4 linked regions of the Arabidopsis thaliana genome follow. The protein of the gene in region 4 interacts with the protein of the main gene of each other region in a pairwise test. Each region holds a gene or a part of one and is shown on either strand. Other genes may lie near its edges.

Region 1 (7,124 bases), on a different chromosome or scaffold from region 4:
CAGCGGATGAAAAGGTGGTGGAAGAGAAGGCTTCGGTGATTTCAAGCTTGTTGGACAAAGCCAAAGGTTTCTTTGCGGAGAAGCTGGCGAATATTCCGACGCCGGAAGCAACCGTGGACGACGTTGATTTCAAAGGCGTGACACGTGATGGAGTAGATTATCACGCCAAGGTCTCCGTCAAGAATCCTTACTCTCAATCCATCCCTATCTGCCAGATCTCTTACATCCTCAAGAGTGCCACAAGGTCATCTTCTCTTTTTTTTCTTCTTGTACCGTCTGATCTACTCTAACACCGTATTGTGCACTTTTTATTACACACATATCATGATAGTATCCGTATTCCGGATCTAGCCTAAGATAAATAGAATTTGTGACACATATTTTGATCATCTAAATTTTGAGAATATGAAAAATATATATGTGATATTTTTCGTTAAGTGTATCCGATCTTTGTACTAATGAATAGAAATGTGTATCAATTAGGTATATCCGATCTAATGTTTGACTATTTTTAATTGATAACAGTATTTAATATATATGTGTATGGATTTCGTTGGTAATTTGTCTGGTCTCATCACCGAAATGGCTAGATCTCATTTTCTCACTAATTGTATTTTTATCGCATTGTGCCGCATTATATATACATACATATACTAATTTCATTATCCATGTGCATTGATGATATCTAGCATCTTATATCAATCCTAATGTATATATTTACACAAGTCTACTGTATACATAATATGACATTACTAATAACACGTGTTATCAAGGAAACAAAGGCACAAAGCTATATAGATGGTCTCAGCTTTTGTATTTTGAGGATTTAAGCTTAGATAACATTTTCATAACAGTACTTTTTATGTAACGTTATGCACACGCCATGTATAGGTGTAACGTACATTCATCATGTGCTGATTAATAATGTTTGTGGCATGCGTAGGACGATCGCGTCAGGCACGATACCGGACCCGGGTTCGTTGGTTGGGAGCGGCACGACGGTTCTGGACGTACCGGTTAAGGTGGCTTATAGCATAGCGGTTAGTCTGATGAAGGATATGTGTACGGACTGGGACATTGACTATCAACTAGACATTGGGCTAACCTTCGACATTCCTGTTGTTGGTGATATCACCATTCCTGTCTCTACTCAGGGAGAGATCAAGCTCCCTTCCCTTCGCGACTTCTTTTAATTACCTTATTTCAAATATAGTTTTCTTAAATCATAATCTAATTTTCAATAATGTACGATCCATAAACATAGACGATCGGAGATTAATACATTTCTGGAATCCTTTTTTTATTTTGTTGATTTCAACAAGGATTTTATTGGTTATTAATTATGTATGTTTTTCAATTGTGTGTGTGATTTATCTTTATTTACCTGCTATGCGTAGAAAAATCTGTTTCCTGAATGTCGAGAGATTTGAACCATATATTATCCCATATGAAAATGAATACACTCCACTACTATTCCGCAAGTCAAATGTAAAAAAAAGTTTATAAACAAAAAAAAAAACTAATAAACATAAGTTTGTGTATGAAAAAAGATGGTTGTCTCCAGCTAAATATAATTGCGAAAGATTATTTAGGAGCAAACTGGAATGTTGAACTAACTAAAACTAATGCATTTAGTGTTAAAAATCCAAATAATCTGTCAATATTCTTTCAAATTATTGAACTAGAAAACAGCTGTTTAAATGATTGTGGAAGACTCAAACACAAAGTTGTGTCTTGTATACATTCAAAATACATTAAAACCAAAACAATGTACATAAATTGATGAAATTGAACCCTATTTATCTAAAAATAGTTTCCAGGTGGGAACGATTCTATACGACGTTATACTTCCTTTTTCTTTTTATCTTTCTCGAAAGAATCCTCTGACGTTGACGCAAAAGTCAAATTTGTGTAATGAGCTGGCAAATTCTAATTGGCGCAAATCGGCATCCCCACCGATACGCAGCTTCTACTTTTCTTCCACCTATATGACCGTTAAATTCAGACTCAATTTAATACCATTCCCATTTTTCCACTGCAATAATTGACCCCAGTTGTGTTAGTGGTTAGGACAATTACATTAATTTTTCTTTTACTTTTTAAAATTTATTTTGGGTTTTCATTTAAAGAATTGATTGCACATGAAACACAGGCAGGACATATAAAATTCAACACTTTCCATCACTAAGTTTGGTTTATATAAATCACATAAACCAGAAGTAATTAATCAGATAAAGACCGAAAAAAAACCACCATGGCAGATTCTGAACATGTACGGCCGCTAGCTCCGGCGACCATACTTCCGGTGAGCGATGAATCCGCCTCCAACATCAAGAACACACACCGTAGTAGAAACAGAATCAAATGCTCAATCTGCGTCACTGCAACATCTCTAATTCTAACCACGATCGTGTTGACTTTAGTTTTCACGGTGTTCAGAGTCAAAGACCCGATCATAAAAATGAACGGCGTAATGGTCAACGGCCTAGATTCAGTCACGGGGACTAATCAAGTCCAACTGTTGGGGACAAACATCTCGATGATCGTTGACGTATCGGTCAAGAATCCGAATACGGCGTCGTTTAAGTACTCCAACACCACGACGGATATATACTACAAAGGAACGTTGGTGGGTGAAGCGCATGGGCTACCGGGGAAGGCGAGACCGCATCGGACTTCGAGGATGAACGTGACGGTTGATATTATGCTTGATCGGATATTATCGGATCCGGGTTTGGGTCGAGAAATAAGTAGGTCGGGTCTTGTGAACGTGTGGAGTTACACTAGGGTTGGTGGTAAGGTGAAGATTATGGGGATCGTGAAGAAGCACGTGACCGTTAAGATGAATTGCACGATGGCTGTGAACATTACGGGACAGGCGATTCAAGATGTTGACTGCAAGAAAAAAATCGATCTTTGAGGTATACGTCATACGATCGATCGATTAACGTTTTTTTTTTTTTAGACAACGTGAGATATGCGGATTAGAAACTTTCGTGACAAAACCAACAAAAAACACTATCTACTTGTTCTAGTTGTTTTTTAAAAAATTTGGGTCATTTGATTATCAGCACGATGCAATAGATGTGTTTCTTTATGTTTTCTTCTTCTTGCAAAATTTGTTTTTGTACAGTTGATCAGATTTTGAATGGAGTGAACATAAAGTCTACGTTAAATAAATAATATCAACGTTCCAAAAATTGACCGATGACTAATCCATTAACGTATTAAAATCTTTGGATCATATGTACTAAACCGACTCGTTGTAGATTAGTTAGTACGCGTTGGCTAACTGGTCGATTTAACAATTTCATTCATACAATTTTGCTAGTTTAACCATAACCCATTGTTTGCTTTAGTTGTAATTTTGTATGATCTAGATACAAGAAATACATCGTTTTCCTACGATCTTCGTGATTAGTTTACATACTCATTAATCGTGACCATTATCAGTTTTTCAAACCTCGGGTCCTTAGTTAGTACGAACCCCGAGCCAAGAGTGTTTAGTAAATTGTAGTGGGAAGCCTTGAATTACTCAAATGTAACCAAAACGAATATCAACGAAACATGACAACGAATAAGTGTAAAATATTTTCAAAGAGGACCCATCAAACGAATATTGTTAAACAGTCAACGTTACATGGCTCGAACACATTTTATACAATAAACAAAAAAAATTACAAAGTAAAACAAGAAAATATATTATTCCTTGGGGTTGGGCCACTTAATTAATAAAAACCTAACTTACTAATAAATGCAAATTTCAGTTTCCAAACAATATTAAATGCATCAGCTGCAATTCCCACCCACCTCTTTTTCTCTTCCCCTAACTAAATTAATTAAAATTAAATTTTCAAAAAAATAAAAAAATAAAAATCTCTATCACTCTCTTCTCTCTCTCTCCCACATGGACCCAGTCTTCTTCTTCTTTACCATCAAATGTCAACACTCGCCTCCTCCGCCTCCGTCTTCCTAGTCCACCCTCCCCTTCCACCGTCGCCACCACAAGCAGGCAACCACTCTTACCTCACAACTCTAGGCTTTGGCTACTCCATAGCCATAGCTCTCGGTTTTCTCGTCCTTCTCTCGACCGTCCTTTTATCCTCATACATCTGTTGCCGTGACTCTCGCCGCCGCACAACCGCCGTGGAATCCACAGGCGATCGTGGCGGAAGTGTAATCCTCCCCCGCATAATCTTTGTCGCCGAGGAAGACAATGAAGATCTCGAAGCAGGTGATGTCGTGGTGGGACTTGATCAAGCCGTCATCAACTCATACCCTAAGTTCCACTTTTCCAAAGATACCTCCGCCGCGTCCTCAGATGGCTTTGGTGGCGGAGGAGACACAACGTGCTCGATCTGTTTATGTGAGTATAAAGAAGCGGAGATGCTGAGGATGATGCCGGAGTGTAAACACTACTTCCATTTGTGTTGCCTTGATGCGTGGCTTAAACTCAACGGATCTTGTCCCGTTTGTCGGAACTCGCCGCTTCCAACGCCGACTTCAACGCCTCTGTCAACGCCTTTGTCAGAAGTTGTGCCTCTCTCCCAGTACGCGGCCGATCGGAGGAGAGCAAGAAGATGATATTATTATTACATAGATCCATTCGCCTAAATTAGGGTAATTCCTATTTATTATTTTTGCTCCGTTTCATTACAACTTTACTGATTTGTAATTAAAAAAAATCCGTCAAAAGTGGAGTTTGCCATTAATTTCATCGAAATGAAATCTAGTTTGAATCGTTTACTAACCTTACAAAATTTATCCTTTTCTATTGGCGTTTTTGAACGTTTTTTTCCGTTTCCCCTATCAATATGAGCGGTTCAAAATAAAATACGCGTCCGTGTTGTGTAACTTAAATAAAAGAGTTTGAGTTTGAACAAGGCAACTTACTTTTAGTTTTTTGTTGTTTTTTGGTCAAGGGTCGGAAACTAAGTTTAGTTAAAATATTAGATTTGTTGAATGTCGGAAATAGATGTTTCTAAAGTTGGGAACAAAAAGAGTTACGACTTAAGATAGTATAGTTTTTTTTATTGCATAGCGAGTACAGAAGATGAATTCAACGTCGTAAACTCGTAGGTCCAAATGTTGGTCGAGTTAAAGTGTACTCTAGGACAACTTTTCTAAATGAAATTAACATTTTTATAGATAAAATGTTTTTGTTTATATATATCACATGTGATTTTTGTTTCAAACTAACCGATCACAACATACCTATGTTTGAAGAAGCGTTGCCTTCAAGCAATTCTGCATTTCTTCTACGTGACCTGGATGTTTCTGGTTCGATGATAGCCGAAAACTGTTATATTTTTCGTAAGGCGCACGTTAGTCACACGAATCCTAAGGAAGGTTGGTTGGTGTGAACACTTTATATTAATACATTTGAAAATTATGGTTAGTCAATATATAGTCATAATGAAATGCGAATGTGTTATTTGACTTACACTAGTCCACAAATTCGCTTTTTCCTACACGGCACTATCCTGTGGAGCGTAGTGGTAATATGTTTTTGTAATTAAGTAATTAACCTCGCTTTGATTTTGATTTATTCTCTTTCTAGCAACTTGTATATAGGATACATAATTAGATGTATATCACCTACGGAATGTAATAGAGTTTAGCATTATTACATTACATCTGAATAATAAAAAAAGCAGTAGTAGATTAATACATGTTAAAACTTAAAATAACTCGACCTATCAAAGCCGCTTACTTAAAGAGAGAGTTACGTCGTGAGCTTGTATTTTTATTTTTTTGACGGCCCAGTAATATATTAAAAGCCCAAAGGCAAACATTATAGAAGGCCCTCTTAAGGGGATACAAGCGAAATTACGTCGTGAGCTTTAATGCTTCATCATAATTAAGTTTGAGCCGTAAATTTCGCTATACGATATGGGACACGTGTCGTGAATCTACTCGTGGTATCGGTTACTTAATGAAAAGGCACCATTCAACGTTTTCTTCCTTATCGTTGCCTACACGTTTCAAGGCTCTGCTTCTCCGTCAATTAACGTCCGTTTTCGTCATCAAAATACTAACGCCGTTGATGACCTTATTTAAAAATTAACTCCGAACCACGACGTTCGGGTTTTGGAACCTCAGGCTCGTGGTTATAAAAGTCTTGTGTGAAACCTATTATATTTGCCATTGCTTAATCCTCTCCTCTCCTTCACGTTGAGATATTTTTGAGTTTTCTGTGTTGAATTTTGGGGAATCGAAGAAATTGAATTTCAAAAATCAATGGCGGAAGAAATTGAAAAATCTGTGCCGACAGAGGAATCTCTGATGGAGAAGATCTCCGAGAAGATTCACCATCACGATTCGTCGTCATCGTCTGAATCCGAGTACGAGAAACCTGATTCTCCTTCGGCTGTGAAGGCGAAGATCTATCGTATGTTTGGCAGAGAGAAGCCTGTTCACAAGGTTCTCGGTGGTGGAAAGCGTAAGGGTTTTATATATTCAGTGTCTCGTCTTTTCTTTTTCTATCATTTTTTTCTCTGGTTTGATCGATTTGGAACATGCGTTGATGCTTGATCTGCAATGTTAGGGTCTAGTTACACTCGTATAAGATCGCTTGGTGATGATTACATAATTGCATTTTCTTGAATCGATCCATTAAGATTTGGGCATCCAAAAGAAGACTTGAACTTTAGGGATAATGTTTTTGAATAGGGAGAGTTCTTAAGTTGGTTGATTAGATTGAAGACATTTACGTTTCTCTAATTTTGCAACTTGTGGAAATTTTGTTACACCAATTTTTGTATGAATGCAATAAATTGGCTTTATTGGTTTATTATGTTATTGACTTCTGAGTTCTGAGGGATTCTGATTTTTCTGTTTCTCAATGACTCTTTGCAGCTGCTGATGTGTTCTTGTGGAGGGATAAAAAACTATCAGGTGCTGTTCTTGGTGTCGCGACTGCTATTTGGGTTCTGTTCGAGCTGGTTGAGTATCATTTGTTGAGTCTTTTGTGTCACATTTCGATACTCGCTCTTGGAGGCCTCTTTTTGTGGTCCAATGCTCACACACTTATCAACAAGTAAGATTCAAACCCTTGATCATGTTAACCCCGCCCTAGATGTTTGTTCTTTGTCTGGTTTAAATGGTCTTAAAACCTTCTTTTT
Region 2 (8,319 bases), on a different chromosome or scaffold from region 4:
AGTGACTTTCATTTCAACCAATAAAAATAAAACAAAACATTATTTGTGTTCTAATATCTTTTGCATGTTAAAAGCCTCATAATAATATTTTATAGTTTATGTATGAGATAGCAAATTATCTGTATAATTGACAATTAATGGTTCGAAGTTTTTATCCGCACCATCACTAAAAAATTACGTAACTATACAAGTTTTAACACATCTCGCCATGATATACACTCTTTAGTAACAGTATTAATTGAATTCCAATATTACTTGGGTTTTTTTGTTGGTTTATATATATCAATATATCGAATATTTATATCAATTTTAATGATTATAGTATATTTTAATATGAGGTATTCCTTTTAAATTTCGATATGTTTAGTTTGTTTAAAAAATTAAGGCTGAGTTTGTTGCAAAAGAGATTAGTACGTATGTTGTTGACATAATTTGTTATATGGGACATTTTGAGAATTTGATTCATATAATACTAGGACTCTTTTTAGATAACTTAATTATTTATTAGTTTTCGAACTTATGTGAACTACATGAAAATAATAATTACATATGAGCTCCCGTGAGTCCCAAAAACAGCATTACGTTACTTACGTGTAAAAAGAATGTTATCATAAACATAAAAACAAAGAAACATGTGCTTTTCCAAATACAAAACAAAAAATTGTTAGGACATATGATGATTTGATTTTGGGGTTTGAAGAAAAGAATGAGTCGCTGACACTTATCCGACTATCTGCGCCAAACAAAGTCTCCACTCATATTTGCCGTGTGGGTCCTATTTTTTGACTACTTGTCGTTTTCCTTCACCTACTTTAAATTTTATACATGTTCATATTGCTTCTAATCGTATATACGTGTCTATATCACTTTATATACGTATATAGCAATACGTATTTTGGAGCAATTCTTCGTCAACTAAGTTTTTTTCATACAACGAGTGCATGAATCTCATTGTTCGTGATCAAGTTTTACTCCAACATCCGAAAGTGTTCGTATACTTGCATTGTGAAAAGCGGTATATTTCAAAACTAGTCGTTGATTCAACTATATATGTTGCCACCATGAATATACTAAACAGAAAATGGAAGAAAGCTGAATAAGATTGGGGACTATAAAATTTAGCATATGTGTCCGATAATAATAAAATCCAAATATCGACCGACAAGAGCTTAGAGGAGTGTCGGTGTACATATCGATGGGATCGACCAGACCGTTAGAGAAAACAACCGATGGGCTGACAAAGATTCTTCGGATTTAACTTATGTTGTCATACGGTGGCTGTGACACATTCTTTTGACGTTCATTTCATAACTTTTATTTTATCGATATCAACCTAAACGAAACAAGTGTTTTCATAAATAAATAAAAAGTTAGTCACGTTGCAATAATGAATTATTATTTTTTTCATTTTTGGCGGAGTGGACTGGTGGGCTTAAGCAAATTGATCAAATTTGTTTTGACACTTTCTTAGTTTATATTAAAATTAATTTTAATTGCACGATGAAAACTTACTAGTCAGTCGCATGGATCTGACCTAACTGTCTCTGTATTTCAGTGCTTCAAAGCTCTTTTAAGTTTTAAGTCAAAATGCATTGTGTCGCATAGAGAGACCATTAAGAAAAAAATTCAATTAGTTCTTAATTAATATTTTAATAATAATTAGATAAATTGGGGCCTTTATAGTCTTCATTTGTCCTCAATAGCCATTATCCAATAAAATATTACCAGTTTCATTTGATATTTTTGTGTCATATTTTTACCATTTAAGACTTTTCACAATTCGAATAGCCATGAACAATAAAAATCTACGAGTTTCATTTGATATTTTTTTTTTTTTGCCGAATACATTTAAGACTTTCACTTCTACTAACCATGAACAATGGTCTCCCAATTACAAAATATATTTTTGAATCATTGGACTACCATAAATGATTAGTGTCTTTTTTGTATTACATGTAACGTAAAAATACCATTCTTCAAGCATTCATAACAATTTTTTTTTTGTCAAGATACATAACGTAAATTTGAATTTCGTAATAACGATACTAGCACAATTTAGCTTAGAATATGTCCAATTTTTTTTTTTATTTTGAAAGGAGATAGATATATAAATATTATATACATGGATATCGGTGAAATTATGTTTATTATCTATGCCTATCGTTTGATAAAACTTGTATATTTTATGGACGGTGACACAGCCCGGTTCACTATGCCTCGAGCCGTATAATGATCATAAAGAACAGAACTGGTTACTATTATCAGGTTCAACAAATCCATTTTTTGATATTTTGTGTGGCTATCAGTCTATCACATAAAATGGAAAAAGAATTAAGAGAAAGAAGAAAAACAAAACAATGACTTGTAATTAAAGTGCAATAATTGATTGACTTATCAAATTTATTAGAAGAATAAAATATTTACGGAATTTAGAAAAAGCTAGTTGAAAAGAATAAGGACCGTTTGGTATAAAGAGATTGTGAAAAAAGTCACAAACACAATAGGTCCAGAAACGGTGACGTGACACACAGATCGAAACTCAGCATCGATCGACGATCGTCATCATATACCATTTATCCCTTTAGCCTCAAGCCACAAGAACAAATCTTATTTTATAGTACTATTTTTAACCGAAAGAATCCGATCGACAATGAAATAAATATCGAACTCATATCAAGTGCTAACTCTAGGTTTTGCCATTAATTTTGCGTTTTCCAATCGAGCTAAAAACAATTGATCGTCTATTAAAAAAATAAAAATTCCTATGATCGCTTTTTCGATCTAAAACTAATTTTTAGTAATAGTAATACCTGTTAAAGTATAAATATCCCTCCCAAGTACTGAAAACTCAAACCTGAACGAGCTAGCCTAGGACTCAACTTTTATCTCGAAAGAATCTTTGAATATTACTTTTGAAAATAAGTGAGTCTAATCCTTGAAGATATATGTTTTAAAGTTTTTTTTAGCAAATGCGATTGAGAAAACATATATTTTAACTTCAAGATAATCATTACTGTATGAAAGTATGGATAATTAATTAGAAGAAACGTTGTTCAAAAATTGGTTAGTCGTTTATAATTACCAAAATAATAAAACAATTATTAATACGCTTGCATAGACTAATTAGTTTTTTTTTTTCCTAAGCTTACTAAAGTGATCTGATAAAAATCATGTATGGAAGCATGAAAGTAATAAAAAAATATCAAGTTTCAAAATTTTAGTCTTTCATATTTATGTACATTTATATATATACGCATGCGTAGACTATAATCAGTCATTTTCGTGTTTTGTCTATACAATTACTAAAAACTGATTTAATCAAAATCGTGATATGTTTTCTATTTCTGACCACTTAATATAAACGATCGATTTGTAGAATTTGATGGCAACCAATCAAAGGTTACCGTTAGATATAATGTCTATATATAAATAGTATCCCCTTTTGGCATCTTGCATAATAGTACCAAACACCTATCTAATCTCAAATTAAATATTTAAATATTTATAAAATGAGGATCATTATCACTTCTTCGAAAAGCTAAGCAGCAAAGAAACAAATCTCACAAAGACAGTTGTTCTTATAATAATAGAAGAAAATTGAGGGATTAGGAACACTATTATTACAACATCTTTCTGTCAAATAAAATATTTAGCTTAAGGAAAAAATTTAAAATCAAGATTATTTAATTAAAAAAATCACATAGGAATGTTATGATGATATAAGTTTTTGTCTTCAAATGTCAACTAAATTCCGGTAATTTCCACACACTTGTCCGTACTTGCCTATATAAACATACACACCCTCATAAACATATATCAAAATTTTACACTTATGCTCTTCATATCACATACAACAAACTCATATATATAAAAACTTTAACCTTCGTATAGCAACGATCTAGTAGAAAGCTTATACTAAAACTTTCTGATTCTCTTAATATGGCGGAGGAGTTTAAAGCTACGGCATCGATTTGTGGTGGCGGAGGTGGCGCGTGGTGGAACTCGCCAAGGAGCGTTATGTCTCCTTCGGATCATTTCTTGTCACCATGCTTCGGAGCGGCTATCACTTCCAATGATTTTAGCTCGCAAGAGAATCATCTCAAATCTAGGATGACTTGTACGGACAACAACAACATCGTTTTCGGGCAGCGAGAGGCGGATTCTGACAGTGGAGGAAGTACCGTGACGATGGACTCGACGTTGCAGATGATGGGTCTAGGGTTTTCCTCAAATTGTTCTTCAGATTGGAACCAAACCATTTTGTAAACTTCTTAAAGAAAAACCCTAACTTAATTTTTTTTGTTCACTTTCTTGATGAACAAGATTGAAGATTTTTAATAATAATCATGAGATCTCTTTTGTTCTTGTTTTGTATTTTTCAGACAAGAAGACTTAAACTCAAGCTTCATAAGGAGCTCACAAGATCAAGATCATGGCCAAGGATTCTTATCCACAACTACTTCACCTTATATACTTAATCCAGCTTGTTCTTCATCTCCATCAACTTCTTCGTCCTCAAGCTTGATACGAACCTTTTACGATCCCGAACCAAGTCCATACAACTTTGTCTCCACCACAAGTGGTTCAATCAACGATCCTCAACTTTCTTGGGCTAATAAGACAAATCCTCATCATCAAGTAGCTTATGGACTAATTAACAGCTTCTCTAACAACGCAAACTCTCGACCCTTTTGGAATTCTTCATCAACCACTAACTTAAACAACACGACGCCGAGCAATTTTGTAACCACTCCGCAGATAATATCTACTCGTTTGGAGGACAAAACCAAGGTAAATTATCTCATATATGTCAAAATAATTTTGCTACTATATAAGTTTTGTGGCTATATTATTGAATTTATTTATTTATTTATTTTTGTTGAGAAGAATCTGAAGACAAGAGCTCAGAGTGAGTCTTTGAAGAGAGCAAAGGATAATGAATCTGCGGCGAAGAAACCGAGAGTCACCACGCCTTCACCGTTGCCAACTTTCAAGGTACATGATCATATTTCAAGATTTGTTTAAGACCTTTTATTTTAATTCAATTTCTTGGTGGATAAAATGGATTGTATATGTAACAGGTGAGAAAAGAGAATCTAAGGGACCAGATAACTTCATTACAACAACTAGTTTCACCTTTCGGAAAGGTGAATGATTTATGTGTTTACTTTATTTTATATGGCTTAATATATACAACCAAAAGCATTTATTTTCCCTTGGTTATGTATTGAGCTTCTTAGTTTGTTTATTTTGTATATCTTTGGGTTAAACTTCAGACAGATACTGCATCTGTTCTCCAAGAAGCTATAGAGTACATCAAGTTCCTTCACGACCAAGTCACTGTACGTTTCTTGTGATTTCTCTCCTAACTCACTGAATTCATAAAACCCTAGAAATGAGCAAATTTTTAAGCATATTAATGTTTTTTAAATACAGGTTCTAAGCACTCCATACATGAAACAAGGTGCCTCGAACCAACAACAACAGCAGGTTCAATACACGATCTAGTGTTTTAGTTTTGTCCAAGTTGGAGTCTTCGTGCTATAATCATGGTTAAATAAGTACTAATTTCAGTATGGATTCATGTAGATATCTGGTAAATCGAAGAGTCAAGATGAAAATGAGAATCACGAACTAAGAGGACATGGTCTATGTCTCGTCCCAATATCAAGCACGTTTCCGGTGGCTAACGAAACAACAGCCGATTTTTGGACACCAACGTTTGGGGGCAACAATTTCAGGTAGAGAAGGTGAATTACGTATATCATACGGTTCTTAATTAGCATTAAGATATTATTTAATAATGCTTAGCATAAAAATAAAAGAAAATAAAATTCACAAGTCATGATCAAAGATTGAATCATTACTTGGAGAAAAAGTAGAGATGGGAGAAGAAGAAGGTGACTCTTCAAAGGTGGGCAGAGGCAACAATAGTGTTGGAGGGGACCAACTACGAAAGCAAGAATGATTTAGGGCTTAGAAAATTTGGGATAATAATCTATCATAAACTAATAGATAGATATATTTTTAAAAACATTAACTTACATACTCTCATGTTATATATGTAATAATTAACCTAAATTTCACTTTTTAATTATATATAGGTGATTAAAGAGAGAGGGTTGTGGTTGTCAAGACGGATGGGAACATATGCTAAATTCAGCTTGGAGACTCTAAAGCATAACAATAATTTTTAATGTATTTTCTTCTTCTTTCAATATTTTAAGGGGGGTTTATTGCTGAATTTAGCATATATGGGTTGTTTTTATGTTGAATAACCTTTTGTTCCTGTCATTGTTCTTGAATATATATATATACATATTTTTGTCGTTGGTAACATCTTTGTTAATCACTTATTAAAGTTAGAGAACATAATAATTGGTGGTTTGTCATATGAAGTTCTTTGTTGTTTTTATAGAGTTGTTTTTTTCATGTTTAATCATAAATTTTAATTTTAACAATCACAAAACCAACACTTATAACCTAATTGTTTGTGATAGTGCCGTTACTCTTACATAGTTACATTTATGTCCAAACTTGCAAACTTGCACATTTTCTGGATACATGCATGTATTTATGTTCGTACATATCCATGTATAAATATGTGTCCATATGGATTCAACTTTTTGTTGGTTCGATTAAGAACTATATATTATGGAAATTCAGTAGTGGAAGCCAGTAGAATAGCGGCCCACACTGCTTCCTACTTTATGATTTGAATATACATATATGATTTTAGTATAGATACCGATAAATATATACTGATTTGCATTCAACATCATTTATGTTTACAGAAAAAAGATTATTCATATGTTACTATAAAGACATATATGTGTGTCTAATCTATCAAATGCCACTCAAAAATATATGCAATGCAAGAACAGAATTCTTACCTTAGATCTCAATATCGATAAAATACTCAACAAGTCCCATGCATGATTAGTACGTATTTATTATTAAAAAACAAAATCTCAAATTATGCCCTATTGGAAATTAATGTTGGTTTTCTCCAAAGTACAAACAAATTAAAAGAACATAGCATGGAGTCAGGATTCAAGATTCTAAAAAGTGAAAATGGAGTTAAGGTCGAAAGTGAACGTATGGAACGGTGAATCTACACATTCAAATATGGTTCTCGGAACCATAAATTAAAGAAGTACTAGGCTTGATTACCACAACATGTCTCTGGCCATTGGAAAGAGATCATTCCGCGACTAAAGGAGAACCGGCAAATGTTTGTTTATGAATGTTTTTCATGTTGCAACTAAGATTATCGTCGTTGATAGAGAGAAGTTAAGATTTGGTTGCAACTCATATTCGGCTATATCCTTTGTCTCAGGATCAACAAAAGTTACCGTCCTACGTAGATTTTTTGGATTCATGAGGTGCTTCGGCTCTTGTCATTGGTTTAATATGTAACTTGGATTCATGTAAATTTAAGTTGCTAAGTTTGTGAATCTAGTGACATCGGTCCCTCTTCTAGTCTTCTTAAATCTTAACCAATAAATTACAGAAAATGGTCGATTACAACTATATATGTGGTGGCTCATATAAATTTTTCGTACCTAACAAATAACAATCTTCGACATAAACAACATATAACTAGTCTAAAATATTGGATATTATATGAGAAAGATAGCATAAACTTGAGTACATTTCAAATCAAATTTAACTTCTACCTGAAAATTCGATTCACTAGTTTCAACTGTAGATCGATTAGAATCAATGTTGTAATAGAGTTTGACAAAATATGCCATGCGCCAAAAGAAAGGAGGATCATGTATAATGTAATATGAATATAAAAGGCAAAAGAAAACATTATGAGCATAAATTTTTAGTCTTTTAGATGTACAATAAAGGACGAACAAGTTTCATCTTTTTTGCTTTATGTGAATACAACAAGTTCTTAATATCTTCAGCTATAAGCTTCGTTTGATTGAAGCTTAAAAGCCTTATTCCTTTTTCTATAAATAAATCACATTGATTCTAATATTGTTTAAGTTTCCGAGTATCACAAAGACACACGGCTTATTTTCCTCCAAAGAGTTTATATATTCTCTACTATCATGAATCAAAATATATCCGTTTTATATTGATATCCTTTATATATTGATATCATTTACAGATTTTCTTTTGAAAATCTTTTACGTGAAGGTTTTTTTCCATAAAACATTCGAATGAAATTGCTCATATAGTTTATGAAGTTTGTTAATTGTTCCCAATATATTTAGAATCACAGAAGTAACCTTTAAATTGTGACATAGTGTTACAAAGATAACATTGGTAAAATTACTTTATTTTTGGCTTTTTTTTTATATG
Region 3 (7,534 bases), on a different chromosome or scaffold from region 4:
TTTGGAAGCGGTTTCCTGTGCCACAATGTCCCTCCCTGAAAGGAGGAAACTAAGGCCTGCTTCTCCTCACACCATCTCTGTCATGCTTTGTCTGTAACCCTCTTTTGACTGCAACAACTAACTAATCAGATAAACAAACGTTGTAAAGCATGCAAGAAAAACAAAGAGTTCATAACCTCAATTGCACAAGTCATTAAAGCGTCTAGAGCAGGGAATGAAAGTTATACATACAGTTGTTCAGATGTTGATTCTCTGTCAAGTCTTGGAGATGCCTTGTTGTTTTATGACGGATGACTTGTTCATTTATAATCGTCTGTCTAGTGTTTGCTTCAGCAAGTCTTCTAGCGCTTGGTTCTGTCCCAGGAGTTTTGTGTAAGAAGAATCTTGAGTGATTAAGAATTTAAGAGCCGAGTTCTGAATGCGGAAAGAAACTGAAACTCTTTTCTCATTCATCTCAAAAGGAGCCAATCAAAATCAGCAATGCTTGTTTCCTTAACATTACATATGAATCTCATGTGTTTGCATGAACATGCTTGTCAAGAAACACCTTAGCCAAGTTACTAAAGCTTACACAGACTGATTCAGCAACTGCGTACCTCTCCATAAGATCCACCACTTCTGGCCTCAAAATATCCTCTCTTATTGCTCTGTTATAGTCACACATGTAATACACGGTGGAGCCGATTAAGATGAGACGGCGAGGCTCGGCGTCGAGAAACAAAATGATAAGCGAGCGTTGGGCCTTACAAAGCCCATTAATATGAGACACCGAGGCGGCAAGTAGCAAAATTTGTTAACCCAAAACGCTAACAAGATTGGGCCCATTAAGATCGTATACTAATCTTACATCAATAAGCATTGTTTAATCTTGTCACGATGAATTCTCAATCATTCCACTTTCATTTTTGATTTGACTTTTAGATATTAAAGAAGAAGAAAAAAAAAACCTTTCAACGACTATACACTTAGGGTCAATTCTCAATTTCCCATATAGATATTTGTTCGTCCATAAGTTTAGATTGTTGAAAGAACTCTCACTTGCACCGACTGTTCTTTATAGTAATCAAATAGTCGTCGGTTAATAATGAAAAAGTATATATTTCGATTTTTCTTTAAAAAAAGCAACAAAAATACATGAACCAAGAACTTCTTAGTGGCCACTACACCAGTATTTTACTGGTACAAGTATTTTTCTAAGAATATTATAGATTCGTAAGATCTACAAAAAAATGTAGCGATTGAAGAAAAAAAAAACATGAACTCGATAGCTTAAAACACCGAAAAAAAACGAGTGGGCAACAAATTTTTGGTAATAAAAAAATAATCGAGTGGCGTAGAATAACAAACCATCCATATCCCTATCCTTCTCTCTATTACCTAAACACAACGACACGTGTCTGACTTTTGGAACATCTCAGAGGACAACACTTTTGTGCTGACTAGGCAATAAAGTGCAAAACAAAAGTGTTGTTTTTTTTCTCCTCTTTCATTTTGAGACAGTTGTACCAAACAATTTCTAATTTGGATAAATGGTTTTTTTTTTCATTGAAGACTTCCAGATATTTATTTTACAATTTTTGTCCTTCACATAAAATACCTATTTAATTTTGTTTTGAAGTTGACGGCTACTGAAATTTAAATATCTCTTTCTTCTTTTTAAACAACGCTCGTGTATGTTTTTATTTAGCTACTCGCTTTCTTTGCCACATACTTGGGTCAAAAGAGAGCACTCCAAAAATATATGATCTGTCATTTGAAACCTAACTATTCCTGATAAGTCTAGGTTCATAGTCTAAAGTTCTTGGCCCTCATTTAGGTATAAATAGTCTAAATTTAAAGTATTTAAGCAAAAACAATACTGAGAAGAAAAAAAAAAAAAAAAAAAAAACTACGGTAAAATTTCTAGAAATGTTTAAGAAAAATCTAACTAAAATCAAAAGAATAGCGTATTAAAATACTAATTTTATTGGATTAACTTAATTTGATGAAAATGTCTCTTAATATTTATGGCGATATGTATGTTGGTTGGACTTTGAAATTGTTTTTATAGATTTAATAAGATGAACATTTTGTTCTTGCTTGAGAGTGGCTGGGTACACAATTTTTTTCACTTTGTTCATGCTAAAATTCAGTTTTGTCTTCTTATATTTACATCTAAGTTTATGTTTGATTATCTGAAACCCAAATTATCAAGTATTTTACGATTTTTTGAAATAAACGAAATCTGTTTATTTCCTTATTCAAATTTTATAAAATTTTGTAAGAGTGATTTGATTGAAAATGGACAACATTTGGAGACATTTTCAAAAAAAAATGTTATAAAAGGTTATTTTAAAATGCTTTCAAAAATATCAATATAATAAAGAGCGTGATTATATTTTAATTCAGAATTATTTAAGTGATCGAAAATATCATAAATTTTGTATAATTAGAGCATTTGTTCTGATATGCGACATATTTTACTATAATTTTATAGGAACCATATAAATTTAATTTTTTAACTAATTCCAGTTGCACATTTGTTTAGATGAAAATGATTTGATTGCTGCATGATATAATTTATTTACATTTAAGCATATATTTTATTCTATTTTGATGAATTGTGTGGTATTTTCGTACTTAAATTTTGATATATTGTATGTAATTGTACAACATACTCAATCATATGTTATTACTTCTAATAATTTGAATATGGACATACTCAGAAAGGTATCAAGGGCTCTTTCTCTAGCTATTGTTTCTCATATAATCTTTTCAAAATCATATATCATCACCAACTATACTCATCATTCTCGGGTACTATGAGCTCTAACTAGTGGAATGGTACTAGAACTTTGACACACCGTCTAGTTGAGATTATAGAAATTAAAGATTATGTTATATATAGTAGAAACAAAGTAGGCCAAATTCTTATAGAAAAGAATAAACAAAATTAATATAAAAGATAAATGAAAAAACGGTCTTGAATTATAAACAATTTGCTAGGTGTGATTCAACATTGTCTTTATTCAATACTTGTTGGGTCATAAACATTCAAATTGCATATTATTGTTACTCTAGTATTCAAATTGCATATTATGTTTTATCTAAACTAACTTATATATTTATTTTGATAAACATGTCATATGATATTAAACTTATTTTCAATTGATCATCTTCTAAGTTGATGCATTTTAGTATTTTATATTCAAATTTTGAGATCTTAGTATGTAATATATTTTCAGGTTTTTACTATTCATCAGTTTGATGATGCAAATATACATAGTACGAATAAAATGAGTGAAATTGTTTAATTATATGATCAGGAAGAAAAAATAATATTCCAAAATCCAAATTTTAGTGGGTAATTCTTAGCACAAAAACAAATTTTGTTTCCAAATATATCACATATTTTTCAATGTTCCACAAATAGCATTAATTGTTGAAATTTGTTATGAATAAGAATATGTTCTATAACATTATATGAATTAGAATTATCAATAGATAAAGTGTGTCAACTCAAATCGCTAAATTGTTGAAAACAATTTAATAATATATTCATTTAATATATTCTCATGTCAATATGATATGATTAGATCTATTTAGTGAGATCTTATTTAATTGTTAATTCTAATAAAACAAAAATAGTGATTATATTACTAATAAATAATATAATTGTTTAATCTTATTTTATGGAACTGTATTTCTCAACTTCAATTAAATACTGTACCTAAACCTAAAATTAAATATGCAATCAACTTGATTAATAAAAAACAACAAAATGGGGTAAGAAGTAAACAACGTTGTTAAACAAGACACGCGCTCACCAGTCGCGAGTTTGGCAATAATCATGAAATGAGCTTCTTTAAAAAAACTTTCTAGTAGATAAATTAAACAATTAAAAATCTCCGACAAGATTTAACAAAGAACAGATAATATCTTCTCCGCAAAGACAAAAGTGAAAGCGAAGAAGAAATCCTCCACGTGTCATTAGCATCTTTTAACCTGAGCCACATGATACTAGTTTCTCGAAACCCCTCTTTACGCTTTTTCACCCAAATTTTTATAAAAAGAAAAACATTATGCTTACGTGGCTTATCTTCTTCTTGCTCTTTTAAAGTAACCCCTTGACTCTGCTCCTTTCATAAACAACAACTCTCTCACCAATCTCAAAACAATTCTCTCTCTCTTTATTCTTCTTCTTCAGCTTCAGATTTCAGATCTTAAATCTTCAAGTCTTCTTCTTCTTCTTCTGCAACCATGGCTATGCAGGTTTGAGATCTATCTTCTTTGTTATTCTTTATGCAATCTTGATCTTGGTTTTGTTACTGTTGTTATGTTTCAAGTCTTGTGGAATCCAGACAGATTTAACCTAAACTTAGGTTTATGTCCGAGAGAAAATAGGTTATTTTGTTATCTAATTTCAAGTTTAATCTCTTTGTCTGAGAGAACTTGGAACTGAAGATTATTCGATTGTGGCAGGTTAAAAATTGTGTTAATAGACCAGGCGATTATGTGGGATATTATGGTCGGTTGTTTTAAAGAGAGATTACTTCTTTCTTAATGTATTGATCCGTATTAGGTAAGAACATGTCTCTAATCCCCTAATTATTACTGGTGGTCTACCTCTTCTAGTTGCGTATTAATTAGTTTTATTAGACTCTTTGTAACATTTAATTACTCTTACAATATATTAAGAGACTAATTGTGTTTTCTTACTTTGTGATTATAGGAACGTTGTGAGAGTTTATGTTCTGATGAACTTATATCTTCCTCAGATGCCTTTTACCTCAAGGTACTAATTTTGTTTCTTAATCTCTTGTTTACTCTTGATTGGTTTTGAACTTAAATATGAGGTTAATTTAGGGTTTGTTTTGTTTATAGACAAGAAAGCCTTATACCATCACTAAACAAAGAGAGAAATGGACAGAAGCAGAGCATGAGAAGTTTGTAGAAGCATTGAAACTCTATGGCAGAGCTTGGAGACGAATCGAAGGTGTGTGTGCTTATCTGACTTTAGAGAGTCTAATGCACATTCTAATCTAAGTTTGATGAAGATATAAGAAAACTACTTGGACCCTAGTAATGAGTAGAGATCTGACTTTTGTTGGTTCTTCTATGGAACAGAACATGTTGGAACAAAAACTGCAGTTCAGATTCGAAGCCATGCGCAGAAGTTCTTTACTAAGGTTTGCCTTCTTGCAGACCCTTATACATGAAAAAGTTTCAACCTCTTCGTGTTAAGCAAGGTCTAATTCAAGTTTTTCTTATTAGGTTGCTCGCGATTTTGGTGTTAGCTCTGAGTCCATTGAGATCCCGCCTCCAAGGCCAAAGAGAAAGCCGATGCATCCTTACCCTAGAAAGCTTGTGATTCCTGATGCAAAAGAGATGGTATACGCTGAACTAACCGGATCCAAGCTGATTCAGGATGAAGATAACCGATCTCCAACATCGGTTTTATCAGCTCATGGCTCAGATGGATTAGGTTCCATTGGTTCAAATTCACCTAACTCTTCTTCAGCTGAGTTATCATCTCACACAGAGGAATCATTGTCTCTAGAAGCAGAGACCAAACAGAGCCTTAAGCTCTTTGGAAAAACTTTTGTAGTTGGTGATTACAACTCTTCAATGAGTTGTGATGATTCTGAAGATGGCAAGAAGAAGCTATACTCAGAAACACAGTCTCTTCAATGTTCTTCTTCTACTTCAGAAAACGCTGAAACAGAAGTGGTAGTGTCGGAGTTCAAAAGAAGTGAGAGATCAGCTTTCTCTCAGTTAAAATCGTCGGTGACTGAGATGAACAACATGAGAGGGTTCATGCCTTACAAAAAGAGAGTAAAGGTGGAAGAAAACATTGACAATGTAAAATTATCATATCCTTTGTGGTGAAGTGTTCGTTTGTGTCAAGTCAGTTGTGTAAACTCTTTTGATCTCAACATCAGATTATGTGTATAATGTCAGAGTATTAGGGAAAGTTTTTTTGGATTAGATTCGTAAGATCACTCCAAAGTTTCGTGTCTTTCCATATAACCAGTTAGAAATTGAGATCCTTGTACTTAAACATTTTTATTTGATCAATCAAATCTTCTTGATAACTCTAAATTGTTGTACATAATAGTAGTCTCTATCAAGCATTTCATTCGAAAGGATTAACAAAAAAGATTAGGTTTACAAAAAATACATCAAAAGCAAATGTTTGAAACATAGAAACAAGTAATGCATCATAAACCCTAAGACTAGCTTCAAGTCTCTGTGACGGTTTCACTCTGTTTCAAGATCTTCCTCGTACGGTACTCGTCGACACAAAGGACACGACCTCTGACGCTTAAGCCACTCAAAGATACAATTTTGATGGAACAAATGGAAACAGTCAGGTAACAGAATGATGTTATCATCATGACTCTCCGAAAAGTCCTCCAAACAAATCGAACAAGTGGTTTCTTCTTCATCTCCCAAATCAGTCAATTCCATTGTTTGTTCCTCAAGCAATCTTTGAAACGTATCTGTCGACCTAACAGCAATAGACGAGAACATAACATCTCTTGTCACTTCCACGTATAAGGACACACTAAAAGGTTGGGGAATATGAGCACAATCCAAAACGATCCTTTCGCTCAACAATCGACAAAACTCAGTATGTGTGATGAACTCGTCAAGGTCTTGATAGATGTGATGTGAACTGAGACATGATGGTTTCAATTCGATTTTAGTCATAAGTGGAGCCGCGAACGTTCCCAAACACATTACGACACCGTTTTGATCTTCAGCTAACTCGTTGACCACATCTTGTAGATTGACGAACACGGTGTTTCTAAACCCTTGATCTTGTGGTAGGATCATTGCTGTTGTAGTAATCTTTACGGACACCAAATTACTATATGTATTCATGGTGGAAGAAGAAGAAGAAAAAGAAGATTCAAAGCCTAACTTTTGATATGAAGAGATAAGATTGTGAAATCAAAGAGAAGAGATCGATGAAATTGACTTAAAGTGAGGCTGAGTGAATTAATATATATATAGAGAGATATTTTACGTTTCGACGCTTCAGTTGGAAAAAAGGAAATCATAAACAAATTTGTTGACGAAAAAGGAAATTAAGGAAAGGAAAACTTTGACCAAAAAAGAAAAGAAAAGGAAAACATGAATTTAGTAAAAATAAAAATAAAAAGGAAACAATCAGTTTTTTGATAAAAAGGAAATTTAGATTAACAAAACGCGTCAAATTTTTTATTTAATTTTAATTAACTAAAGTCAGATAACAAATCAGACCGTTCCACATTATTTCGCAACATTACTTATACTAGATGAATTTCCATTACGCTTGGATTTGTTTTAAAAATTGTTAATAAAAATATGTTAATTGTTTTTATCGCTAATTTATATTTATTTTTTATTTATTATTGTATAACTAATAGAATTAGACTCATAATAGTATTTATGTTTCGACAGTTGTTCCAAATACCACCACCTCAGTGATAATTTAAGTGAGTGTATATTCAATGTTATATATATCGATATTGTGAACTTCAGTTGTATCTAATGTTTTCATTTTTTA
Region 4 (7,843 bases):
TTTTGGGTCTCCGCAATCAAAAGCGAAAGACAGTTTCCGAGAAAATTTCTGCGGTTGTCTTACATGAAAACATGTAAATTATCATTTCCACACAACTCTTTTTATTATTATTATTATTATTATTATTTATTTTTTTTTTTTCACAACTTACTTTGTGCAATAATGAAATCAAAATCGGGCATGACTATTTTACATGTACTTGATGCAACTTTTTGTCTGTTCTTTTCTCTAAACTCACTTCCCATTTGTAAAGACCTAAACGAATCTTACATTGTTTAAGACCTAAACTGCATTAATGATGAACTTGATTTTTTTTTTTTTTGTGTAACATATATCCACATAAATCCTATATGGTGCGACTAGGAGACTTCTTACATGTATAGAAATAATTAGCGTATCATACATTACTGACGCCTTTTGTTAAATAATTTGTATGTTCCGAGTAAAACTACAATCAAGAAAAAAAATCATGGATCTACATGAAAGATAAAATAATAAAGTTATTTACGGCGCATGCATGAAACTTTAAAGTTCGATATACACTTGGACCAATTAGTCTTACGTTCACTACTTGTGCATATGTTTGAACACTCACCACTTTTACTGATTTATGAATATGTGAACTTGAGGACATAATGAACCCACTTGATATGAACTTGTAGCTTCCTATTTTTTCTTTACTCTGAGTCTATTTAAGCAAGAGCCACATTGCTTAGGTTTATCCACTCCATCGTAAATAGGATGATTTTACTACTTTCTTATATGTCATAAATTATATTGATAATTGTTTGGGTCAATATAATAATAAACCCTATGATTATACTAACCCTAGTCTCAATGTAACTTAAAATTCGGATTAAATTAATATCATTACCATTCTCAAACATAAAATAAAAATATTTAATTTGTTTAATACCTAAAATATTATTTTTGTTTCATGCATATATAGCAGGAACCATCCTTTAGTCTTACTATTATAATTCTTAATAATTAACAAATAATAAGATTTACAAAGATATTATAATCGTATGCGATATTAAATTTGGTTTTTGAATTTTTTTCCCTTTTAATATATATATATATATATATATATATATATATGTCGAGAAATGGTCTGCAAAATGTTTATGGCTAATATATATATATATATTTCTGTCGAGAAATGGTCTGCAATATGTTTATGGCTCTTTAACAAAAAAAATATGTTTATGGCTAACTGTACATATTTTTTCTTTTTTCTTTTCAATGTACATCTTGGTTGACTATTTATGTATCTAAGAAGTCTTTTTTTTGGATGCATATATATATATAAGAAGTCTACGAGAAAATTTATTGAGCGGCATGATAAAACCATCAATTTCACTAGGAAAGAGTCTTGTGTGGACTAATACGAAGGAACTATATAAATTCATCGAGTAAAAGTTTGAGATTCATTACGTCAGAGCTGATGTCAAAACAAAACAAAAAGCTCGTTATAGCTCATATATATCTAACTTATTTTCATTTTTTCATATATATACTTTCATCTATCCAATGTTTAAAAGATCAAATATTTATTGAGAGGAACCAACTATTTTCTAAAGCATTTTGGATTAGTGAAAACCCGAAAAAACAAACAAAAAATAGATCATATTGCAGACCATTTTTCTACAGAAATACGAACCCTTTTTTAAATATTTGATTATAGTAGTGCTTTCCGAAAATTTTGTGATGTTCTAACATTACTATAAACCCCATGACTAATCGGAAACACTATATATTAAGAAAATCATGGAACTGCTTGAAAGATTGATTTACTACACAAGCATGAAACCTTAAAAATTTTCAACCAATAAATATTTATACAACTAAATTTATTGTATACATATAAAGTACACAAGTATGAGGTCTTGTGGACCAATTAGTCTTAACGTTCACTGCTCGTGGAATGTTTGACACTTGCACTTAAGTTATTGGGGTTTCTTTTTTCTTTCTTTCGATACCATTTAGTTATTTTTTTAATTCACTACTTGTACGGTATCACCTGTTAATTGAAACTTTTCAACCGATTTATTATCTTTTGTTCACTCTTGGATTAATGTTCAGAAGACCGCACCAACACTTATATCTCACCTTGCCTTGTCTCTTGACTTCTTGGTTCATACTTCCTTCCAAAACTTGTCTTGTTCGTGGAAGCCTTTTGGCACAAAGTTATGTCGATTTTTGTTGTTGTTATGGTCCACTCCAACAATAAATCTGTTAAATAAGAAATATTTTTGACAATATAAATTAAATAACAAGATATTTTTACAATAGCTTTTTTTTTATTAATGGTGTCAATTTGGATTTGGAGCTCATAGGGCCTAATCCATTTACCAAGAACTATTGAATTTTTCTATTAAAAAATAGTTGTTCATACAGAAATTTGGTTAACCACATTCTCTTGAACTCTATAAGACTAAAATTAAATCATAGAACTCTAAATTCGGACACTAACCCTTAAAACTTAAAAAATCTTAAAACCGAAAGTAAAAACTATGAATTATTTATTCGATTTGAAAAGATTATTATATTGGCATCAGTTTATTATTTCTACACAATATTATTCTTATATTTTACTTCACACTAAAAATCATTGATTAATCAACTACTATTCAATTCAGGCATATTTAAATTATTCGAATAATGTCTTCAACTCTCAAATTTTTTTAATTCTGAATAGGTATGTGGATAATCATGCATGTTTGTATCACACAATACATATTTTGGTTTGCCTATTATTTTTCTCGTAGACTTGTTTAATATGCGACATGATAAAACAATTGTGTCGCATAAAACAATTAACAATCTCTTTCTCTATAAAAGGCGAAAGAAATTTCTTAAACCATAAATTTGAGACTAATAGCTGATTTCAAACAAAGAAACGTCATAGCTGATGTAAAAAAACAGTACCTCCACATCCCAATGTGTCAATGTGATACCCCGCCTAACGACTCCGTACAACTAAAATGGTAGTAGTATTAATTTCCTTTAATGTTTTTTTTAGCTTAAGTAGCTTCGGCGGATTGTATTAATCCACAACATCTAAAACTAAATGCCACTAGAATGGATGATTTATGCTTTGAACTTCAATAATATATATAGCTCATCCAAACCTAAAATGTAGTAGACCAAATGATCGAAATTCAGCAAAAATCACTTGAAGATGATTTTACCTCGTTTCAAATTGTAAAATGTAAGATCAAATATATGCAATATTGATATTTACTTTACTTCATTTATCCATATATTTTTAGTAAAAAAAAACTGTAAAATCAAATATATTTATATGATTTATTATTTTCTACGTTTCTACGAAAAACAGACATTCATTGAGGTAACAAAAAAATAGGAGGATATAATAAAGAATATTAGAAGAAGACTAGTAAGAATAAACCTTGACTTATTCAATGATAAAGTACGTGGTTTGTGAAAAGCACTCACTGTCTCACGTATAGATGATAGAAATGGCACGAAATTATCACAAAGATGGGCCCGTGTCCAATTCCCCAACAAAATATGAAAAGACAAGTAATAATACATGAACAAAAAACTAAAGTCCAAACGCGTAAAACTTTTCTCATTTCACTCGGAGAAAACTAATCTCTACTTGCACCTATTTAAACTCATCATGAGTCCATGTGGTTTCACTTTATTCAAGAAGCAAATTTGTAACACACCAAAAAATGGGAGAAGAGCTTTCTGTAGGGTTTCGGTTCTATCCGACCGAAGTAGAGCTCCTTACGTATTACCTAAGAATCCAGCTTGGTGGAGGAAATGCCACCATTCATAGTCTCATACCGATCCTCGATGTGTTTAGCGTTGAGCCTACTCAGCTTCCAAGTACGTATGCAATCATTAGCTATATAAATAATGTCGATGATATATTTGTCGTATATATGTGTAGTCTTTCACTGTAGAGTTTTCCTTCTTGCGTTTCTTGAGTAGAGTAACGTGACTAACGTTATCTTGAGATTGTATGCATGAGATTTAGGTTTGTGTTTCTTGATTTCGTGGTTAATTATAAGTTACAAAAAAAAACTTTACAAACAATCACATTTCTAAAATTAAACAATTTCATTTTCGACAAAGTTTAACTTTACATGTAATTAAGGAAAACGTATACACATAAACTGAGGATTTACACAAAAAAAATTGAGAGGTGTGTTATTGGTTTGTGTGTTTTTTTGTTTGTAGATCTTGCGGGAGAGAGGTGTCGAGGAGATGCAGAACAATGGATTTTCTTTGTGCCAAGACAAGAGCGTGAAGCTAGAGGAGGCAGACCAAGTAGGACCACTGGTTCAGGATACTGGAAAGCAACTGGTTCACCTGGACCCGTGTTCTCGCCGGATAACCGAGTGATCGGAGTAAAGAAGACGATGGTTTTCTATACCGGAAAAGCACCTACTGGGAGAAAGACAAAGTGGAAGATGAATGAATATAAAGCAGTTGAAACAGCCAGTGTATCTACCATCCCAAAGGTGCATAATCACTTCTTTAAAATGAAGACTTTCATCAAATAATTTTTCTCAAATATACCAAATTCTATTTGTGGGATTCCAATATAAAAATAACTGATGTCTCAACACCTTTTTGGACAAGCATGTGCAGTGAACTAGCAGAATAATCTTTAATACAATTATTACAAACAGAGATTATTAAAAACGAATCACCCTTTGATTCATGTCAAAAATCTTTATCATGGTTATTTTATATCTCACATATATAATCTTGTCTTACATATATCGTTGTTTTCAAAAGTTATATATGTGGTAAAAGAGTGTGCGAAAAATTACATGTGTTTTTAAGTATTTGAAACTATCCAATTAAATATCATGCATACATAAATGATAAAAACCAAAATATTCATGCATGCATTCTTTTGTCTATTGGTTATATATTAGAGTTATAGAATTTCTACCATCCCTATTAGGGATTCCCTAAGATGCATAATGTTATAATATCTAAGTTACTGATAATATTTTAGTAAAACAATAGTTAAGCTTTCATTATCAAAACAGGTTCTAACGAAGTTTGTTCCTATTCAATATAGTTGAGGCCCGAATTCAGTATCTGTCGAATCTACATAAAGTCAGGAAGCTCGAGAGCCTTTGACAGACGTCCCACAGAAGCTTATGCGATAGAGAGAAATCTTCCTAGCAATGGAGTTGAGACATCATCTCGTGCCACAATATCAACCTCACCAGAAACTTCACATTCAGGAGGAAACCAAGTTGATTTACCGGTGAATGCTACTACTATTACACAAAGCATCTCAGATATGGTTGATGAGCTATCGCAACCTTTTTGGGAGTGGGAACAAATGAATTGGTCTTAAACGTATTAATTTACTTCTTATGTTCATTTGTTACTAAATATACAATAGAAGATAAGAAAAAAAAAGAACAAGTCGTCAGATTTGTGGCAACTTTTGTTCTTTTCAGTCGCCAACTAGTAGTATATGACCACGACATTTTTAAGCCTAACCTGATTATTAGGCTAAGCTTGAAGATTCATTATTTTTCACGCAAGTCTTTTTTCCTTTATTTTCATGTGTACCTTTTTTTTTTTTTTTGCTTTTTGTTTTGAATGAGTAGAGAATTTTTGAAAGGTTAGTTCTACTTGATCATGGAAGATATTTAGATTACTTTGCATGTATTATTCTTAAAAAAAAAAAAAAAATCGATAGAAATTAGCTTCAATCAATTAGATCAGTCTCACATTCAATATAAATCCGCCGACACTTATTGCACTTTCTTTATTTCCATTTTAGTATTGTATGTGTGATCATTTTAACTCTCACCATCTGTTTTAGAGGTGTTCTTATATATATAGAGATGTGATCTCTCATTAGATCGACACAAAAAGACAAGGATGACTGAATGAGTATAAGCATCTCAACCGGGTCATGTCTTTGATCACGTTGAAGCTCTTTGTTAGTCGTTCAAACTTCTGTCCACGAAATAAAAACTGTAAAACAATTCTTAGATTTTTTTTCATTATGTTTGCAATATAGAAAGAACACATGAGACAAGAAAACATTTTTTTTTAAATTAATTTATTGAGTGAGGTGTACATATTTTGAAATATGGCTTATGCTTTATCGATGGTGCAAATTACTCTTACAAAAAATAAGGTCAAGTGCTTAGGGATGTCAGTTAGGTTGTCCACGTCTAATTCGTTTTTCTGGAAATTAATGATTAAAGTTTTATTGAAAATTCTATGTAAACTGATTGTTTTATCAATATCATAAATTAATAATTATAAAAGTTCATCGTCAATCAACATTTCTATAAATTATAAACTAATTTTTATCTAACAAATGATCCATTTTAATTTCATATACTCTATTTTTTTGTTTAGGAAAAACACACATATTAAAGTAAATTTAAAAATGACAATTTTAATTAATCTTGAATTATTAAAATTTTATTTAATAAAATTATAAATCTGATAAACATACGCAAAAAAGAAGAAAGGCAGGTATGGGTTATTTTTGTATTTATGTATCCATTTCCCATGTGTAAGATCCCCATGCATTTACAACAATTATTCTTGTCAACATCGTCAGCATTATTAACAAATTCTACACACTTCTACGTTGGTTCAATTACTCACGTAAACTTTTTTAAAAAACTAAAATTTGGAGCCAAATTTTTTAGAAATCTACTCCAATTTTGTTTACCGGCAAAACTAGTATGTTTTGTTTAATCAAATGGCTATATATATTCTCAATAATTGAATTGAGTTTGGAAGCTTGTTCAAGTCGAATTGATGATTTACTTTAGAATGATCTCCATGAATTGGTTGAACAATTTCCACCATTTCTATGTCGTCGTTAATCTCATGAAACTTGTTCAAATCGAATTCATGTTTAACTTTGAAATTGTTAACATGAAAACCTTCTTCCGTCTTCATCTTGTTTTGAAAATATTTTTTTTTTTCTAACATCAACATGAAGCTTTATTAGAGTGATGATGTGTAATCCTCATGGAGGATTTGTACAAGAAAAGTTGGTACATAAGAATGAGATACATAAGAAACATTGCCATTATAATGAGCTTTAGCTAGGCGATCGGCTGCCTTATTGCTTGTTCTGGTTGACCATTGAATGTTTTGACCATTGCCATTATTGCTTGTTTTGAAAATATTTTATGAATTTGAAAAAAACAGATCAAAAAGAATTTTGAGTCAAAGAGAGGAAAATAAGAAAAAACAATCAATAGCTGGAATAATAAGATGAAGAAACGTTAATCATGGAAGCAAAGAGAATAAACGTAACAAGAGGAAGATGATGAAAAAAAAACTTGTGATGATCAAAATAGCATTCGTTTTTCCACATATACTCTATAAAACAATCAAGATAATAGTTATGTGAATTAACATTTTGTTTCATTTAGTGCTGATTTCGCGTAAACCTAAGCATCAAAATAAAATTCTTCATATTCTTAATTTATTTTATTCTAATAAATTTGAAAACAAATACAAAGAATAAAGAAAGATATAATAGGAAATATAAAGGTATTTATGCATAGAAATTAGGAAAAGATCAATCTTTTTGAAGCAAATTTTTTTCCTAGAAAATCAAATAAAAAGGAACAGAGAGAATAGAATTTTTCTAATTTTGTTATGAAATCAAGTTAAATACAAAATAGAAATGATATGTTAAATTCTAATTGGATAGACTATGTCATACTTTCCCTTTACATGATATACTTTCCTTTTCATTATATAACCGAACTTAAACCGAACAAATAACATGAGAACCGGACTAAAATTAACCAAAAAAGTAGACGAGCGTCCGGTTCTATTATAACCGGATCTA

The links.
Region 1: the proteins of NAC061 (region 4) and AT2G46160 interact in a two-hybrid assay, tested with the Arabidopsis thaliana proteins (one large-scale study listed by BioGRID).
Region 2: the proteins of NAC061 (region 4) and AT1G61660 interact in a two-hybrid assay, tested with the Arabidopsis thaliana proteins (one large-scale study listed by BioGRID).
Region 3: the proteins of NAC061 (region 4) and RVE2 interact in a two-hybrid assay, tested with the Arabidopsis thaliana proteins (one large-scale study listed by BioGRID).

What each region holds. Positions count from the first base shown.
Region 1 is NC_003071.7:18,959,170-18,966,293, forward strand, and holds AT2G46160 (RING/U-box superfamily protein), read left to right. Parts: upstream 1-3,913; 5' UTR 3,914-3,939; coding exon 3,940-4,584; 3' UTR 4,585-4,620; exon of another isoform or gene 4,621-5,116; intron 5,117-5,226; 3' UTR 5,227-5,520; downstream 5,521-7,124. Other genes in the region: AT2G46140 (Late embryogenesis abundant protein), read left to right, coding at 1-244, 944-1,193; AT2G46150 (Late embryogenesis abundant (LEA) hydroxyproline-rich glycoprotein family), read left to right, coding at 2,255-2,920; AT2G46170 (Reticulon family protein), read left to right, coding at 6,241-6,442, 6,859-7,039.
Region 2 is NC_003070.9:22,751,792-22,760,110, reverse strand, and holds AT1G61660 (basic helix-loop-helix (bHLH) DNA-binding superfamily protein), read left to right. Parts: upstream 1-3,739; 5' UTR 3,740-3,939; coding exon 3,940-4,262; intron 4,263-4,382; coding exon 4,383-4,791; intron 4,792-4,887; coding exon 4,888-4,995; intron 4,996-5,081; coding exon 5,082-5,147; coding exon of another isoform or gene 5,148-5,231; exon of another isoform or gene 5,232-5,276; coding exon 5,277-5,342; intron 5,343-5,436; coding exon 5,437-5,490; coding exon of another isoform or gene 5,491-5,508; exon of another isoform or gene 5,509-5,589; coding exon 5,590-5,741; coding exon of another isoform or gene 5,742-5,745; exon of another isoform or gene 5,746-6,104; coding exon 6,105-6,108; 3' UTR 6,109-6,500; downstream 6,501-8,319.
Region 3 is NC_003076.8:14,749,678-14,757,211, reverse strand, and holds RVE2 (Homeodomain-like superfamily protein), read left to right. Parts: upstream 1-4,123; 5' UTR 4,124-4,239; coding exon 4,240-4,251; intron 4,252-4,711; coding exon 4,712-4,774; intron 4,775-4,863; coding exon 4,864-4,975; intron 4,976-5,106; coding exon 5,107-5,168; intron 5,169-5,253; coding exon 5,254-5,868; downstream 5,869-7,534. Other genes in the region: AT5G37250 (RING/U-box superfamily protein), read right to left, coding at 6,241-6,867. UniProt on the Arabidopsis thaliana protein: Positive regulator for cold-responsive gene expression and cold tolerance. Part of a regulatory feedback loop that controls a subset of the circadian outputs and modulates the central oscillator. Negatively self-regulates its own expression.
Region 4 is NC_003074.8:16,020,349-16,028,191, reverse strand, and holds NAC061 (NAC domain containing protein 61), read left to right. Parts: upstream 1-3,672; 5' UTR 3,673-3,704; coding exon 3,705-3,861; intron 3,862-4,215; coding exon 4,216-4,499; coding exon of another isoform or gene 4,500-4,541; exon of another isoform or gene 4,542-4,730; intron 4,731-5,071; coding exon 5,072-5,356; 3' UTR 5,357-5,617; downstream 5,618-7,843.